5 linked regions of the Xenopus tropicalis genome follow. The protein of the gene in region 1 binds, or shares a complex with, the protein of each later gene. Links are inferred from orthologs where the notes say so. Each region holds a gene or a part of one and is shown in the gene's direction. Other genes may lie near its edges. The genes, in order: calcr, gnb1, ramp2, ramp3 and ramp1.

Evidence for each region.
Region 2: the proteins of calcr (region 1) and gnb1 are in contact, whole or in part, in a cryo-EM structure (PDB 8F0K), measured with the Homo sapiens proteins. The link is inferred for Xenopus tropicalis from reciprocal best matches to the Homo sapiens genes CALCR and GNB1. Residues at the interface, in NP_001158210.1 of Homo sapiens: Arg174, Ser175, Arg404, Gln408; in NP_001269468.1 of Homo sapiens: Thr47, Arg52, Phe292, Ala309, Gly310, His311, Asp312, Trp339.
Region 3: the proteins of calcr (region 1) and ramp2 are in contact, whole or in part, in a cryo-EM structure (PDB 7TYX), measured with the Homo sapiens proteins. The link is inferred for Xenopus tropicalis from reciprocal best matches to the Homo sapiens genes CALCR and RAMP2. Residues at the interface, in NP_001158210.1 of Homo sapiens: Arg45, Lys46, Met48, Met49, Asp50, Gln52, Tyr53, Lys54, Tyr56, Asp57, Met59, Gln60, Trp76, Gly78, Arg126, Phe235, Leu238, Ile242, Thr246, Val250, Glu255, Lys256, Gln257, Arg258, Trp261, Tyr262, Leu264, Leu265, Phe269, Pro273; in NP_005845.2 of Homo sapiens: Trp86, Tyr93, Ser94, Arg97, Asp98, Glu101, Leu109, Pro112, Glu117, Ile120, Phe121, His124, Phe128, Cys131, Pro136, Phe138, Ser139, Asp140, Pro141, Leu146, Met149, Ile150, Pro153, Ile154, Leu156, Ile157, Leu160, Ile161, Leu163, Val164.
Region 4: the proteins of calcr (region 1) and ramp3 are in contact, whole or in part, in a cryo-EM structure (PDB 8F0K), measured with the Homo sapiens proteins. The link is inferred for Xenopus tropicalis from reciprocal best matches to the Homo sapiens genes CALCR and RAMP3. Residues at the interface, in NP_001158210.1 of Homo sapiens: Arg45, Lys46, Met49, Asp50, Gln52, Tyr53, Lys54, Tyr56, Asp57, Met59, Gln60, Arg74, Thr75, Trp76, Asp77, Gly78, Asn124, Arg126, Phe235, Leu238, Ile242, Thr246, Gln257, Arg258, Trp261, Tyr262, Leu264, Leu265, Phe269, Ile276; in NP_005847.1 of Homo sapiens: Cys57, Leu59, Ile63, Tyr66, Glu67, Thr70, Tyr83, Trp84, Pro85, Gln90, Ile93, Thr94, His97, Arg98, Phe101, Ser102, Cys104, Val106, His110, Leu111, Glu112, Asp113, Pro114, Val118, Leu119, Leu122, Ile123, Pro126, Val127, Leu129.
Region 5: the proteins of calcr (region 1) and ramp1 are in contact, whole or in part, in a cryo-EM structure (PDB 9AUC), measured with the Homo sapiens proteins. The link is inferred for Xenopus tropicalis from reciprocal best matches to the Homo sapiens genes CALCR and RAMP1. Residues at the interface, in NP_001158210.1 of Homo sapiens: Arg45, Lys46, Met49, Asp50, Gln52, Tyr53, Tyr56, Asp57, Met59, Gln60, Gln61, Thr75, Trp76, Asp77, Gly78, Asn124, Arg126, Phe235, Leu238, Ile242, Thr246, Val250, Ala251, Gln257, Arg258, Trp261, Tyr262, Leu265, Phe269, Ile276; in NP_005846.1 of Homo sapiens: Trp59, Ile63, Tyr66, Arg67, Ala70, Asp71, Phe83, Trp84, Pro85, Val89, Asp90, Phe93, Leu94, His97, Gly98, Phe101, Ser103, Arg109, Ala110, Val111, Arg112, Asp113, Pro114, Ile118, Leu119, Phe122, Ile123, Pro126, Ile127, Val129.

The regions. Positions count from the first base shown.
Region 1 is NC_030682.2:32,306,645-32,309,515, reverse strand, and holds part of calcr (calcitonin receptor), read left to right. Parts: intron 1-2,616; coding exon 2,617-2,838; 3' UTR 2,839-2,871. UniProt on the Homo sapiens protein: G protein-coupled receptor activated by ligand peptides amylin (IAPP), calcitonin (CT/CALCA) and calcitonin gene-related peptide type 1 (CGRP1/CALCA).
Region 2 is NC_030683.2:91,940,279-91,943,795, forward strand, and holds part of gnb1 (guanine nucleotide-binding protein G(I)/G(S)/G(T) subunit beta-1), read left to right. Parts: intron 1-1,915; coding exon 1,916-2,078; intron 2,079-3,517. UniProt on the Homo sapiens protein: Guanine nucleotide-binding proteins (G proteins) are involved as a modulator or transducer in various transmembrane signaling systems.
Region 3 is NC_030686.2:22,072,066-22,075,582, reverse strand, and holds part of ramp2 (receptor activity-modifying protein 2), read left to right. Parts: intron 1-691; coding exon 692-769; intron 770-1,492; coding exon 1,493-1,595; intron 1,596-3,428; coding exon 3,429-3,517. UniProt on the Homo sapiens protein: Accessory protein that interacts with and modulates the function of G-protein coupled receptors including calcitonin gene-related peptide type 1 receptor (CALCRL) and calcitonin receptor (CALCR). Required for the transport of CALCRL to the plasma membrane.
Region 4 is NC_030682.2:59,345,796-59,349,786, reverse strand, and holds the start of ramp3 (receptor activity-modifying protein 3 precursor), read left to right. Parts: upstream 1-1,185; 5' UTR 1,186-1,493; coding exon 1,494-1,545; intron 1,546-3,991. UniProt on the Homo sapiens protein: Accessory protein that interacts with and modulates the function of G-protein coupled receptors including calcitonin gene-related peptide type 1 receptor (CALCRL), calcitonin receptor (CALCR) and G-protein coupled estrogen receptor 1 (GPER1).
Region 5 is NC_030685.2:59,159,641-59,163,157, reverse strand, and holds part of ramp1 (receptor activity-modifying protein 1 precursor), read left to right. Parts: intron 1-5; coding exon 6-144; intron 145-3,517. UniProt on the Homo sapiens protein: Accessory protein that interacts with and modulates the function of G-protein coupled receptors including calcitonin gene-related peptide type 1 receptor (CALCRL) and calcitonin receptor (CALCR). Required for the transport of CALCRL to the plasma membrane.

The DNA.
Region 1 (2,871 bases):
AAATTATTTTTCCTTAGGCTGCAAGAAATCGTTACCAGTGCTAGAACAGTGCTACTGGCAAAACTTTTAAATTTAAATGCAGCCTATCTCCTTTAGAGGCAAACTATACCCGTGAACAATTTAGGTCTCTATAAAATACATCACATAAAACAGCTTATGTGTAAAACCCTGCTTCATCTAAATAAACTAGGTAGAAAATTGCCATTTTAAGTACTAAGGGCCACCCCTAGGGATCATATGATTCACGATGCTCACAAACAAACCAAGGGCGCACATACATGCTAGGACACACCAGCCAATGAATGGGTAAAGCTCTGTCTTTTGCTCCCACACTACTTCCTGTTACAGTTAGAGCTGCATTATTTCCTGTCAGCTGATCTCTGAGGGAGCACATAGGCCATCACTAAATGGTGGCTCAAGGGAAAAGATGTAAGCTCTACGGGGCAGGGACCTCCATCCTACTGTGTCTCATACCTCATGGCACTTATTCTCTGTGCATTTATATATATTTATTGTATTTATTTATTCTTTCACTTGCCCTCCCTGTGTGTAATTTTGTATTCTGTAAGACTGTACAGCGCTGCATACCCTTGTGGCACTTTATAAATAAAGTTATACATACATACAATATTTTCTGATATATATATTCCAGTTTGGCGAGATTCTTTAATAGGTCACTTAATACAATATAAACTATCTGCTGGTTAAGAATTCATTATGGGGGTATAGGTTTTCATTAAAGATAATTTAACAAAATATTTGAATATATTTAATGCAGAAGGAAACATGACGAGTATTACACAGTCTGGTTTTTAATCTCATACAAAAGAACAAGCCAAGATTTAAGCTGCATGTAATTTACCCACAGATACGTGGGGAAACAGAATTCATTTTGCCAGTTATATGTAGCGTAAACTCACAATGTTCCCTTAATCATTTTGTTTTCTTTTATTTCTCATTGAATGCTGTCCTGGTTGTGTGCATTCTTGCAAGCTCTATAGCTGTATGTGGGTGGGAAACACTGACAGTTCGCTCTATATTAAATGCAACTGCTGCAAATGAAAGACAGTATCAAAAGATCATTGATTCTCCGCTACAGGCTGTTAAAGGGAAAATATACCCCCTTTTTGGAGCTTATTCATTTGGCCTTGTGTAAAAAAGGTGCATAAACACTATCTGAACTTCCGAAATAGATTTTTACATATGTTCCTAATCCCAGGTTGAATTGAAATCACTGTAATGAAATTCCTCCCTAACCTTCTTCTATTGTGAAGTGATGGATTCTAGGACTTGAAGTCCCTCTGCTTAATAGAGAATCTGTGCACCGCCCACTATGGAAAGCAGAGGGAATTCAAGTACAAGAATCCATCACTTTACAGTGAAACAAGGTGAGGGAGAGGGTGGATTATACTATGAGTTCAAGGGGGAGGGTAACTGGTTCCAGCAAGCAAAGTGAATCTGTCATGGTTCCCTTCCACTCTGTTTGCAGGTTTGTCTGTGTAAAATGATTCTCTAGTGTTCATGCACATAACCCAACAAAATGAGCTTATGTTTCAAATGTAAAATATGCACATTAGTACATTGTGTTTGCTTAAAATTAAGACTTTTGCATGTATGTAATTATTTAAAAATGAATTTGCTCACTTATACCAGTATAATAGGGAATGCTGCAATATGTTATCCTGTCATTGTTGAAGGAATTCCCGGCAGTTGAATATTTTCCCCAAGTTAGTAACATTTCCCTGGCTGTCACGGCCATTTTCTTGACAGTCAGGAAAGCAGTTAAAGAACTGACATTTATCAAAGCCTTTAATTTACTTTGATCAATATGTCATACTCTATTCATTAAGCTGCAGGAAATTGATGAGCATTGTGCTAATATTAAGGGAATCGAGTTAATGGGGGCTTAATGTTTTAGTGAAAACCATGTTTGATAATGAATTCAGAGATTCTCCTTCATTTTTTAGGAGCTGTATCTGTTGTACCACAAATCCATTCCTAGATGTTTCTTTCTCTTTCGAGTCTCCTACTGCTGTTTCTAAGGTTTTTGAACAATAAGGGGCAGATTTATTCATTTACAGGGTTGGGGGTTCACAATTATGTTTTTTTTCCATGGTTTTCATATTTAATAAGATTCCCAAATGACTTAAAATCTTCATTGCATCAAAACAAATCTCAAATCGTGAAGAAAAAACCTAGATGGTAAAAGTGTTGAAATCCTGGTCCAGCTTCCTGTTGGATTCTATAGCATCGCAGCAGGTTTTTTGGTGGCAAGATTTCTATTTTTTATGAGTTTGATTTGATCACTAAAAAATTGTACTTGGACTTTTTGTGAATAGCAACATAATTCTCACCTTGAATTATTAAGAAATTTGCCCCAAAGTTACAAGATAATTAATATAAACTATAAATTGTCTCCTAGAACTGGATGGTTGGGGCCCAGAGGCATTTTATTCAGGTACCATCCCCTCAAGATGCCGATACCCATGTTCATTCAGTAGTTTCCCCTTCTTTGTGAGAAATGCCATTAGTTGTCATCCTGTAGCCAAGGTGAAAAACCACCAAGTCATAGATATTGGTTCTTCTTGAAAGTAACCAGTGTGTGTTGGTTTCCAGGTACAAGGAGCCTTGAAGAGACAATGGATGCAATACAAAACCCAGTGGGGCCAAAGACGGCGAGAACATTGCTCCATGCGTTCTACATCATATACCGCAACGTCCATCACCGAAGTCCCCATTTATCTATATCACCATGATTCCAATAGTGAACAATTAAATGGGAAATACGGAGATGAGTCAGAAATCACTGCATTGAACTCTGGAGATACATATGCTTAAATCTACCTGTTTGCAGACAGACACGCTGCTTTC
Region 2 (3,517 bases), on another chromosome or scaffold:
AATCGCTTACCTTGTACCCCGGGCTGGTGCCCCTGTTAGGAGAAAACAGCACCAGCCCGGGGTACCTGTAGCGCAGCTCTTCCTCCTTCCGCCTTTGCTTTTGGAAGGACTTACGACGGGCGCATGCGCAGTAGAGTGAAAATCCGACTTCTCTGTTAAAGTTCGGCTTTTCACTCTACTGCGCATGCGCGCGATGACGGAAGGATGAAGAGCTGCAGCTACCCTGGCTGGTACTGATCTCTCCCAACAGGGGCACCAGCCTGGTGTAAAAGGTAAGCGATTTAAGTCACTTGGGGGTGCCTAACATAATTTAAACAATTAACTAAACCCAATAGGATTGTTTTACTTCCGATAAGAATTTGCATCTTTATTGGGATCATATACAAGGTACTGCTTTATTATTGCAGAGAAAAGGGGAATCAATTTAAAAATCTGAATTATTTGATTAAATTTTGAGTCTGTGGGAGGCAGGCTTCCTGTGATCAGTGCTTTCTGGATAACTGATCCCATACCAGTAGTTGTATTTAATAATTAGATTAGCTTAACCTGTAGTTGCTTATTTGGAGAGAGTTAAATATATTTTTAGAAAAATGCCTCTTAAAATCATAGCTAACTTATAGTTGTCACTTTGTTGGTGTGCAGTGTTCAGACACTTTATGATATCCTGTGCAACTATGTGCAGCCTTCTGGCTGGATTTTAGGCAGCCTGGTTTCAATCAGCTTTGAAGCATCATAGCCTTTGAATTAACAGTTCACTGGTGCAGGAAAGAAACTGAGATTTAGAGTAAACCAGCAGTAGGTTTCACATTAGCCTTTATCCTTTGTGGGCTTGTTTTAAATATTTATACAGTCTGTATAATTCAGATAATTATTGTTGAGATGTAATCCGCATTGTGGGTTACTTTAACTATCAGGAGAGAAGAAAGTTAGTTCACTTGATTGTAGTAACGTGTAGTTGTTTTATTTTTTTGCATTTTTGAAGTCTTAGAATTATTCAACATTTCTATTTTGAAATTTTAGGATCTCTGGTTTCTGGGGTCTCGCCATAGCAGTTAGTAAAAATGGAAAATTAATAACGAGTTTTTTTTCTTGCTCATGTAGTTGCTGACCCTTACAAATAGAAAGCACTTGCAAGCTGGAAAGAGTCGGAATTAACTTGAATGATTTTTGTATTAAAAGAACAAACCATTAGTTGCCCTTTCAGTACTGATATATATTTGAGTGTGCATAAATGTTGCTAATTTTCATTATTCATGCACAGTTCTTGGTAACAATCATTTTCTCTCTGTGAGTGATTGTGTCACTAATTCTAACTCTTGTTGTAGATAGTATATAAATGCTTCAGGCTGTACCTAGACTATACAGGTACATGTATAGGACCCGGTATCCAGAATGCTTGGGACCAAGGGTATTCCAGATAAGAGGTCTTTCAGTGATTTGGATCTCCATACCCTAGGTCTGCTAAAAAAAAAAAAAAAAACAGTAAAACATTAATGAAACCCAATAGAATTGTTTTGCATCCAATAAGGATGAATTATATCTTAGTTGGGATCAAGTACAAGGTACTGTTTTATTATTACAGAGAAAGAAAATTAATTTTAAAAATCTAAATTATTTAATTAAAATGGAGTCTATGGGAGACAGGCTTTTCAGTAAGATGGAGTTTTGTGGATAACAGGTTTCCGGATAACTGTTCCCATACCTCTACCAATAAGCATTGAAAGGCTTTGGCGTTTGGGAATACTGGAGTTGTAGTGTAACAAAAATGTGGTTGAAAATTGCCTAAAAAGTTGAACATGGGGTAGAAATAACGTTTTTTTCCCCTCCTATATCTGATCATTTTCCTGTAATCAGAGAATCAGTATTTCCCTTTTAATGTGTTTATGAGCTCTCCTTGATAATTTTTCACATTTAGGTTCATGCCATCCCGCTGCGTTCTTCTTGGGTAATGACTTGTGCATATGCTCCCTCTGGAAACTATGTTGCCTGTGGTGGTCTTGATAACATCTGCTCTATTTACAACCTCAAAACTCGTGAAGGAAATGTGCGGGTGAGCCGTGAATTGGCTGGGCATACAGGTAAGGCTTCTAAAGTTTAACTATAATAACTTATTGATAAGTGTGTAACCTAGTAATATTTTGTTGATGAGTAGGTTCCACTGAAGACATTGGTAAATGGCAAAAGCTTAACCATATTAACTCATCACAGCTGCCTCCTAATGCTCATACACTGGCATTATGAATAACATTTGCTACTTTCGCACTGGCTGAGGTGACATTTCAGATTGACTCTAATGTATCTGCAGCCTACAGGCTGGCAATAAAGTGATTCTGTCATGATTTATATGGTTTTTTATTTACATAGCAAATAATTCACTCTATCATTTAAAATGTTATTCTTGAGCCAAGAAATGTATTTTTTTACAGTTGTAATATTGGTGTGTAGGCAGCCGTCTCAATGAAAAATTCTGTTGTGTGATTCTGATGTGTTTTGAAAAAAACCTATTTTCCTGTGACCGTATTAATTTAAGGCAATAGTTGGAAGATTTTAGTATTACAATAGCTGTTGATATTATGCTTGTTTAAGAAACCATCCAAATCCCTTGTATTGCTTTAAGGCAGTGCTGTCCAACTTCTGTTGTACCGAGGGCCGGAATTTTTCCGACGTACGTGGTGGAGGGCCGATAATGGAAGCCAGTTTTGACCACTCCCCTTTTTGAAACCGCACCCACTTGAAACCACACCCATGTTATCACATGACCATACCCATATTAATGGTTGTAGTACAGCAAAAACCTGCCATACTCTGCCTGCCCTACCCTGCCTGTGTGTGCCATACTCTGCCTTCACTACCCTGCCTGTGTGTGCCATACTCTGCCTGCCCTACCCTGTCTGTGTGTGCCATACTCTGCCTTCCCTACCCTGCCTGTGTGTGCCATACTCTGCCTTCCCTACCCTGCCTGTGTGCCATACTTTCACTGTGTGTGCCATTCTTGGCTGGTTTGTGCCATACTTGGCCTGTGTGTGCCATACTCTGCCTGCCCTACCCTGCCTGTGTGTGCCATACTCTGCCTTCCCTACCCTGCCTGCGTGTGACATACTTTCACTGTGTTTGCCATTTTTGGCTGGTTTGTGCCATACTTGGCCTGTGTGTGCCATACTCTGCCTGTGTGTGCCATACTCTGCCTTCCCTACACTGCCTGTGTGTACCATACTTTGCTTGCCCTATGATGCCTGTGTGTATGGCACCCACAGGCAGCCTACAGTGACAAAATGCTGGCACTGCTCCTACAGTCTGCACAATAACTATATATTAAAAAAACTTTTTAATTGAAGTACCACCTCAGTATATGTTCTTTTTGTAGTGTGCAGGGATTATTTGTGGGTTTCTACTGCTCCTGAGGTGTGAACAGGGGAACAATGGGGGTGATTACAGCCTGAGCCTGAGGTGTGAACACTGCAGGGGGTGAACAATGCAGAGATTAAAAGGTGTGAACAACACAGGGGATTACATATTT
Region 3 (3,517 bases), on another chromosome or scaffold:
TCTCCTACTCCCATGTAACTGGAAGAGTCCCAAGCCGAACTTGGATTTCTTATTATTGAGTGCTATTCTGATATAAACTGGGAGCCGCTATCTTGCTACCTTCCCGTTGTTCTGCTGATCGGCTGCTCATTTCGATATCACTCCAACTTGCAGCTCAGCAGTAAAGTGTGACTGAAGTTTATCAGAGCACAGGCCACAGGACTGTAACACCCTGGGAAAGAAGAATATGGCTAGCCACATGTGAAATTTCAAAATAAAATATAAAAAATCTGTGTTTGTGAAAAATGGATTTCAATGCAGAATTCTGCTGGAAAAGCTCTTTTTACTTACACATTTTGAAAAAAACATGTTTTCCCATGACCCCTGGTCCCTGACCACTTTGCACTTGTCTTGCAGAACTGGGTTTCATAAATGGAGTATCTATCTCTGGTACAGCCTTATAGAAAACTCCATTTATATACCTTGGATTGGCTGGCCAGCTACTCAAATAGTCTGACTTGACTACATCTCCACACAAACCGCTGCTCCTGGTTCCTCCCTTCAAACTCCTGACTTGAATAATGAACAAAATTTGCTGACTAATTTAAGGGTCAGTTTGCCCCTGACCTTCAGCCACCCAGTGTATTCAGAAGTCAATAAAATTAAAGCTCCTTAAAGCACTTTTTTTCCTAATGCCAGTTTGTTTCCACAGTTGCCAGTTCAGTGGCAGTCCAGCAAAACCTCACAGATTCTGCTCATAATGAGACCAAGCACATTTTTAAGGACATACGTAAGTTTTGATTTTGATGTGATATCTCATTGAAGTTCTAACTACATACTTATATAGTGTTTGTTGAGTACAAAAGTAATTTGCATTGATCACTTTTAAAGGGGTAGTTCAGCATTAAACTAACTTTTAGTATGATATATAACTTTTTAGTCAATATGCAATTGGTCTATGCAATTTTTTTTTAGAGATTTTGAATTATTTAGCTTTTTATTTATCAACTCTCTAGTTTAGAATTTCAGTAGCTGTTTGTAATTCTGTGCAACATTCTAGTATACATTGCTGTTGCAAGGGATAGCTGTCTGATATTTGCATTCTCTGAATTACGGTTTATGACACAAAACCACTTTGAAGTTTCATATTAAATGAATATAGGAAAGTTAAAGGGGGTGGGCAAGTTTAAGGGGTGGGCAAGCTTAAAGGCCAGGCAAGGGTAAGATTTGTGATGAATTTATCATTGGGTGTCCACTGAACGGTAGCACAGTGCTTAATGTATCTATAACCTGGTGATTTTTCTTAAAAAGGACATTATTATGCAATTATTTGAAAAATACTATAGAATGTATATAGGTGTGTAATTCCATAGATTATTATTATAACTCTTAAGTGTAAGCTCTCTTTTGTATCAGTTGCAGAGTATTTTATAATTCTATATGTTTTATAAATATGTGCTAATAATAGTAATAATAACAATAAAGTTTCTATTTATAATTTTCTTTCCTGCAGAGTCAATGCATCTTTATTTTGCAGAGTCATGTTGGCTTGGTTACACCAGGAATATGTCCACAGTAAACTCGGATAATTGGTGTGAATGGCATCATATCAACAGGTAGACATTGTAAAAATATCAAAAGGGTTTGTGTTTTGTTGAGATATATATACACAGCAGTGATCCCCAACCAGTGGCTCGTGAGCAACATATTGCTCACCAATCCCTTGCCCCCAAACCAGGTAATTATTTTTGAATTCCTGACTTGGAGGCAAGTTTTGGTTGAGTAAAAACAATACTTACTACCAAATAAAGCCTCCTGTAAGCTGATAGGGTGCATAGAGGCTACCTAATCGCCAATCTTAGCCCTTATTTGGCACTTCTATTAATTTGTGATGCTTGTGTTGCTCTCCAAGTCTTTTTACATTTCACTGTGACTCACGAGTAAGATGGTAAGGTAAGGTTGGGGACCCCTGATATACAGTATATATACTTGTCAGGCTCAGAACACCAATATATGAAATTAGTGCTAATTTATTTTACTGCATTACGTCATGCATGTGACATCATGCTCATCGTGTGTGCGCGTGTGATATCACGCTCAGCGATGGAGCTGGAAGGTTGGGGGGTCGGGTTGCGCGCCTATGTCTCAGAAGTGACATCACGCACATCGTGCACACTTCCGCAGAGCAACCTGACCCCACAGCTCCGTTGCTGGATTTCCTATGGCAATCCATGGCGGAGGCTGGGCGCATTTTTTTATAAAAACTTATAGGCACCTGAGGTGCCTTATTATAAATACGGCCCTGGACTCATGATATTATTAATGACTCTCAACATTAAATTATACGGTGTCAGTGTTTTTTCAAACCTCAAGACATGGACCTAAAACATACAATTTTTTTTGGCTAGAATAAAAGTGCAATTAAGAAGACCCTAGCATACTATAACACCTTTATACATTTTTCAGCCTATTACCCATGTTGTCTAGAATAAAATAAATATAGAATCTGGAACAATGCTCTTTATGAATTAGAATACAGGAGGGTATGGCCTTCCCTGTCTTAAAGGAGAACTGTACCCTCAGAATGAATACTTAACCAGCACATAGTTTATATCATATTTAGTGGCCTATAAAGAATCTTACCAAACTGGAATATATTAGTAAATAATGCCCTTGTGCATCTTTTACCTTGAGCGGCCATTTTGTGATAGTCTGTGTGCTCCCTCAGAGATCACCTGATATGAAGTTATGCAGCTCTTGTTGTATGTGGGCCTTGGTTTGTTTGTGTACACTGTGAATTGTACAATCCCAGGAGGGGGGCCTTAATGGGTTGTTTTTAGATGCAATTGTTTTTGAACAATACAGTCAAATTTAGACAACTGCAATAACACTAAGAACTGGTGTATAAAATGCCTTATTTATATAATTCTCTCAATGAAAGCTACTATTGTATATGATACAACAACACATTTCAACAAAATAAGGATTACTGTATCCTTGATATGTACAAATATTGCTGCTTTAATCCCTGGACCCCCCCACACCCTTCCATTAATCCATTCCCCTAGCCTTAATTTCTTGTTTATGTATAGAAAATAGTCTTGGCAAAAGCATAAACCGCTGAAACCAAATATTTTTATGTTTTGCCTATCTTAAAGTCTGACTGAGCAGCAGTTACTTTGCGGCTTTTCATTTAGGTAATAATGGGCCATAATCAAGGATGTTATTGTAATCTGGGTTCTCTTTCTAGCAGACAATTGTACCATAGTGACAATATGATCAATGCCAAGAGTTGACTGTTTCATTGATTGTGAAACTTGTGACTCTCTGCTTTGTTGAACTAATTTGTGCTGTAGTAGCATACTGTATATATCTGGGTTCATCATTAGATGATACTCCACTACTGTGTGCACACACTGTATAACTAGTTTTTTTTTTTTCTATCCTAGACATTACAGTAATTTAAGAATATGCCTAGAGGACTTGGCTGAAATTTTGAATCTTGCATTCCCAAATAATATAGCCAATAACTACATTA
Region 4 (3,991 bases), about 27 Mb from region 1:
ACTTGTATGCAAGAATAAGTTGTTGCATAATCAAAAGTTGTTAGGCCCCACAGCAAAATCATTTTAGCCCCTCTCCCCAAACTATGAGAATTTGACGTTTAAATAATACTGAACCTGCTTATTAGTCAGTGCCCTTTGGGCTCCCAAGCAGTTATAAGCTTCACTTTCTGTCTAGTTACACCCTCATAAACTCATGCAATTGAACAGACAAGGCTAGCTTCTGAGCAAGTTTCACTTACATACTTATTTAAGAGCTCTGGCACCCAGGGCATTTCTTTTTTTTTTTTTTTCTAGCATGGGTGACAAAACATCTCATGTTTCCTTCCCACTGTCATTAATGTAAATTACTATTGAGAAAAAATGTGCACCACCACTGCTTTCCTTAGTAGCCCAGGCTAGAGTTTTGCAGCGGGTCAGGTAGCAGCAGGTTACCTGCCAAAAAATCTGGTACCCTGCAGGTTGCAGGTATGACTTTTGGATGAGACATATATATTTCTTATATTATCTATAAAAAAGGTTAAAATGTGGGTTTCAGGTTTAGGTTCCTTTATGCCAGGGCATTTATTACTTCTGGTTTCACCAGTGGCTTCTGTTCCTGATGGCAACAGAGAATGGCAGTGCAAAAAGTGGGGATGGAAATGCTAATTCTCTTCACTGCCTTATAAACATGCCCCTGTGTGCAATAACCAGTGATGGGTGGTCCTGTGGGAAAGACAAAGTAGCTTCTGATATACAACACCCCCTTATCCAGATTCCAACCTGTTATTGCTCTCTAGCTGCCAGAGGCTCAGAAAACCTCTGAGATAACAGTTTTGACACCATTTTACCTTAGTATAATCATTCCCTACAGGTGCTACCCTATACTTTGGAGCTTTTTCTTTCCTTCTCCAAGTGCTGCTCTGCGGGGCCTGCAACATCAAGCCAAGCACTCTATCTGCCCTACGGACAAGCAGTGGCAATAACCCAATGTAGAGGCATTTGCAGCTGCACAGCCAGCGCTCCCCGCCGTACTAGGACCCTGCAGCGCCCAATGCACAGCAAGCCCCGCCCTCCAGGCTGCCCAGATGCACAGTGTGACAGGATCCAGACTTTGGCACCACACTGCAAACTACACACATTGTCATCCTTCTGGCTGGACACATTCGGCTATCAGGGGATCCCAATAATCCCATAGCGGCAGTATTCTCAGCCTTCTTATTGTCCGCACATTCCGTGCTGAGGGATTGCGAGTATCGCTGTCATTATGACAATCCGCTCATTGTAACGGGGATCTCGAGTGGAGTTTGATAGGAGCTCGGTCACACACACGACCATTGCCCGCGGCTGCCTTTTCTCGTCTTGTGTCGCTACTGCTGCTGTTGCTGTTATTACGGAGAGAGAAGTTTATGTGACTGTCACCGCCGATCTCCTCAATGAAGTCTCCTCTGCTTTACTGAAACCTCCTCCTCAGATGCTTTCCTTTGCCCGCCCGGCGCCTCTTACCTTGGATCGGGATGGATAAACACATCTTGGCTCTGCTGCAACTTTTCCTGTCTCTGGTTTGTGGTAAGTGGCCCCATTGTGTGTGCCTGGGGGAATGGGGGCATCACTCCCTCTGGGTATGACATTGGTGGGCACTCATACAACAACTGCTGGCTCTTTTGTTCCTTTCAAAGAACACAACCGCTGGGTGATAAATGGGATTTCCTTCATGGCAATAAGCTATTGTTTAAAAACATGGATCCCAGTTCATTTGGCATCCAGGGAAACAGATGTATCTATCTCCTACCTCCCATCTATAGATATATAATCTATCAAGCTCTCTATCTTTCGTTTTTTCTTTCTATTTTCTATACCAATCGGTCTGTCCCTATCTGACCATTCATTTTTTGATCACTGTCACTGCCTCTGCCCCTTTCGCTAGCATCCATCTGGCATTTCTTGTTCAGTGTGAAACTATGCCTTGGCCAAGCACAGGGTGCAGTCTGTGAACTTGAGTTTTCTTATAAGAAAGTACTGTAATTGTATTAGCCAGGATCTATCTGTTATACCTGCCACAAATCAAGGAGCCACACTCACAGCAATGTACACTTGAGGTGCTATGGCAGAACTAATACTCATATAACAGCAAATAGGGATTCATGTATGTATGTATGTATGTATGTATAACTTTATTTATAAAGAGCAACAAGGGTACGCAGCGCTGTACAGTCTTACAGAATACAAAATTACACACAGGGAGGACAAGTGATATAATAAATAAATACATATATGTATATATATATATATATATATAAGTGCCATGCGGTATGAGACACAGTAGGAAGGAGGTCCCTGCCCCGTAGAGCTTACAGTCTAGCTCAGTAGCTAACTAAATGCCTAAAATAAATAAATAAATAAGGATGTCAAGATTTGCAAGCTGGGGGAAACAAGGTGCAAACATCTTGAAGAAAAGTAATGGAATCAAATGTTAAAAAGAAATGCATGGAAGTTGCACAATGGTGGTTAAAACAATAGCTTCGCTATATGGCAACACAATATAGCTGTGGTCTGTTGTTTTAGTGGGGTTGCAGAATGGAACAGTGATTGGCACCAGGGCCCTAGGTTTGAATCCAGCCAAGGCTGGAAGTTTTTATGTTCTTGTGTTTGTATAGGTTTCCACCCACAAAAATCGTCCCTTGATAAAAATGCTCATATTGTGTGTGAATATTATAGGGGCATTAGATTGTAAGTTTCACTTGGACAGGGTTTTTCTGTAAAGATCTGCAGAATATTTTAGTACTTTATAAATAAAGGAAAATAATAATGGAGACTTTATGAAATTGTCTCTGGTCTCTCCTCAGTTATCGTAAATGACCAGTAATCATTTAATCTCTTCCCTTGTGTTTAGAGACTCCAGAAAAAAAACTTTAGTACTGGTTTTTATCATGGATCAAAATATATAGGTATGGATCTCTTATCCAGAAAGTTCCGACTTACCAGAAGGCAATCTTCCACAGAGTCTACTTTAAGCAAATTATTTTCCATTTTAAAAATGATTTCCTTTTCCTTTAAAATAATAAAACAGCACCTTATACTTGAATGTAACTAAGCTATATATATCCATATTGGCGGCAACACAATCCTATTAGGTTTATTTAATGTTTAAATGATTTTTAGTAGACCTATGGTATGGTGATCCAAATTATGGAAGGGTTGCTTATCCAGAAAACTTCAGCTCCCAAGTTTTCTGTATAATAGATCCCATACCTGTATTGTTAAAGACTGAGCTATAAAAGTCATTTTACTTCCCTCCTATGGTTAAAAGCAGGTTGATTACTGCCTCTTCTATCATAACAAGGATATCTACTTATCATTGCCAGGATAACCAACACAGTCCAACAAATGCAACCAGTATTTAAGTTTACATCTGTATTTGAGTAGTCAAAATACCTAATTCCATGTGGATAACATATTTTGCTATAGAAAAATTAATGATTTGCTCTTACAAAGTAGACAGATTACATGATTAATAAGTACTTTTTGCACAGTTATGCTTTTATAAGTCTCTACTTTCACTTATCATCTTACAATTTTATCTGTAGCCGTTATTTTATTTCAGTCATGTGTCTTGTGGGTTTGTTTAATACACTGATAGGAATGGGTGTGCATTTTAAATATAGATTTTCAGATTACACTCTGCATAAACTGTTAAATAGGACATTGTACATAGTTATAACATTTCACCCTTCCAGGCTGATGAACAGGTATCTGTTCCTACTTTATGCTGTAGGTCTACTTGCTCATTCCCAGGAGCACAAAGTCTTGAGAAGACTGCTGCGATTATGCTGATCGAATCATATTTGCTGATTGCATAAGATAGAGCAATACATTGAAGAGAAAAATGTGCCTGCACCCATGTCCCTTGTGAGAGCTGGTTGTTGTGCCTTAATGCAATAAGTATTCGTTTAACAAATATAAATGAGGCTGAGCAAACATATTTAATGTGTTAGGGGTTGCTGTAGAAGTGAGG
Region 5 (3,517 bases), on another chromosome or scaffold:
TGCAGCGTCTCCCTTAATGGCGGTCGAATGCTGTAATGAGGCGCTGTACAGCCATGTTATGAACGAATTCTGTTTGCAGCATTTCGAGATAGAAATGGAAGAGCTGGGAAAGAAGCTGTGGTGTGACTGGGGAGAGACAGCGGGGTGAGTAGCAAAGTTTGAACACTGCTTGCCAAAAAGTCACAATAAATAAACCACTACATGTGTAAATCATTTCTGCTTGGCTAAATTCTGCTTGACGTTTCTGCTCAACTAAATATCAGACTTGCACAAAAAGATTCAAAAACAGTCCACAGATAATAAAGTAATAATATTTACCTTAAAAATCAAATGGCTTAAATTGGGCCAAAAGCTAGCATTCCAAAATGAGTTAAAATATGGTATTTCATCAGTTTGCATTTAAATTGATAGTAACATGGACATGTCACTATGCCTACACAAACCCTAGCGCTGCTATTCTAATGTATGTACCCCCCGTCTCCCCCCTGCCCGTCTGTCCACTTTCTACTAACCTATGTCAGTCTTTAGCACAGGTTAGTAACAAATCTCACAGGCTGGGGCTCTGTATACATTTGCCCTCCAGCCTATCAAAACATAAACCTGCCCCCAAATGCCCCATTACTCACAAAGCTGTTCAGCTTCAAGATGTGCTAGAGCCCACTACAGGTTAGTAAGGGGTTACCTGTGGGAGGCAGGGGGCACATACATTACAAAAGAATAGCAGCACTAGGGTTTATGATTTATTTGGAAAGTATCTCTATGCCTTTAAAATTGTGTGTCTAGAATTGTGTGGGCATCTTCACTCAATGGAAGGAGCTAAAAATACAATGGGGCTTGTCACGGGTAAAGAAAGTGTAACCCTTTTCTTACCACACTTCTGTAGAGCTGGATCACCCTCACTTTGCTTGGCTGTTATCTATGACAATCCAGTAGACCCCGAAACCTCTTTGCTTATTGAAAAAACACTGTGAATTGGGATTTACAGTGCAATGCCTCAACCAAGTGGGCACTGAGGAGTACACCCCAGGGGAATTTCTCTAAAGTACCTCCCCCAAAGTACCTCTCCCTTTGGATAATGCATGTGCTCCCACGTATCAGGCAACAGGCATCCGCAAACAGCTGAGCATGGACGCAGAATACTCTCTGTATGTGGCTGGAGCTCAAGGCTTGTCCCAAGCCGAGCACGCCGCAGCCTCTATTCTTACTGGCAGCTAGTGATGAGCAAATCTGTCCCCTTGTGCTTTGCGAAACGGTGAAAATGCCCACCCCATGGTTTCAGCTCCAAAGCAATGCTCTCCCTGGGTCCTTCTCTTTTCCCAGAGGTGCACTGGGGCTCCAGCCTGTAACTAGGCTGCAGGATGTCACAAAGAGAAAAACAGTGGAAAGGGTTTCTGCATTCTGTCACTAGTAGACACTAGTATTGTGGAGAGCTGGGAAGTATAACAGTAGAGTTTTTTTTTAATGCCTTTAATTATTCCTGACAGTGTCCTACTTTAGTGAAGCTTACAATGCGATTTCCCTGCTCACACACCCTGCCTGAAGGTTTTGGAATGTGGGAAGACCTGGTGCCCCTGCAAGAATGAGTGGAAAGAACATAGGGACAGAATCTACACTATTCTGGCATCACAATGAAATAGAAGCCCACAACACTATGTAGTAATACTATCCCTTGTGCTACTTCATTTACCTGATCATAGGGTTACCCATCCTTTATATCCAGGGCCAGAGTAGGATTTCAAGTACAAAAGTACAAAGGCCCAAACAGCCCCCCACAGGCCAAATAAATGACTGTCATAGGTACTATATTAAAAAGAAATAGGAAAGAAGTTTTCTTTAAACTGGTAGCAACAATAAAAGGGAGCTCTACCCCCCAACCTAATATAAAGCTGCTCAGAATGACTTTCTGAGCACTTTTGAAATTTAGGTTTTACACTATTAATATCATGAATTTGTAACAAGGGCAACCTTTTTGTAATATATATAATACATATACTGTATAGTATAAATGTATTACATCTGAAGTGTTGGAAGGAGAGATAGTTATATGGGCTTGTAGGGTGAGCAGAGGAAGCATTCTACATTGGCAAACACTCTAATTTTAGACACTAAATAAAGCTATGGCTCATGGGAGAGACACTAATATAGGACCTTGTGTCTTTTAAAAGCTAATAAAAGTTCAGTAGCAGAATGACAGCTCACATACAGCACGCTGGGGGATCTTTTTAAATACAAACCCTCTCTAATGTTAATGACAGAAAGAGTTTTAGTATGTTAGAAGGGCAGAAAGCAGCTACATATACACAATTTCACTCTGGAATAACAAAGTACATTTTAAATGAAAAGTTCTCTATATATATTTATTTTCAGTCTTCAGTTTATTGAATTGCTGACTCTAGCCAAAACGTAATGGGATTCTGTCATGATTTTTATGGTGTACTTTTTATTTCTAAATTACACTGTTTACATCAGAAGTTTGTAAGTTTGTATTAAATTTATCAGAGCACAAGTCACATGGCTGTGGCAGCCTGGGAAATGAAGAATATTGCCAGCCCCATAGGAAATTGCTAAATTAAAAATAAAAATTTGTTTGTGTTTTTGAAAAATGGATTTCAATGCAGGATTCTGCATGCATTTTGAAAAAAACATGTTTTCCAATGACAGTATTCCTTTAACCCTTTTACTGCCAGCTGTTTTGGTCAAAGCGGAACTTGTATTGCCAGACAGTTTTTGAACATTTTGCACTGTTTCACTTTAGGGGCCTTTCCTCGGGGGGACTTTTAGTTTACCCAGGAAAACAATATATCGTTTTTTTCAGAACAACCTAAGCTTTCAAAATATGGTAGAATTTTTGTGTAATTCCAATTCTGTAACAAGATATAGGCTTCTAAATGTCTAAAAATGCAAAAAAAATCTAATTTTCCATAATATAAACACACATACTAGAAACAAAAATTATTTTATGCATGAATATACAACTGATTTGGAAAATTCCATGTCTCCTGAACGTGCCAATACCAAATACATATAGTTTTATGGAGATTTGTCACTTGTATAGGTCAAAAACTCCCAGCAGTACACTACCAAATTTCCAAAGCACTGCTCCAGAAAGCTGCATACTTAAGATTTCAAGGACAAAATTTCCACTAACAGAAGGTTTATCCCAGAAAATTGTACATTTTTGGAAAGAACAGATTCTGGGGAATACAGAATAGGCACATCTGTCTGTCTACTCCAAACTATCAAGTCGCAATGCTTTCCTAAATTAATTGGTTTTTATCAAAATTTGTGATTTTTTTAAAAAATTGCTTCAAAGCTTCCAGTCTATAGTATCTTATCTCCTACAGGTCATAAAGTAACCAAATAAAACACCCTAAATATGAACACCAGGGATCCACTGAACAGTTTGATGCCCAATATGTATAGGTTTACCTAAGTATGTGGCATGTAGAGGCCCCAATGTGAACATACCCCCATATGATCAATCATTTATGTTATTTCAGCTCCAGCAAAATCAACA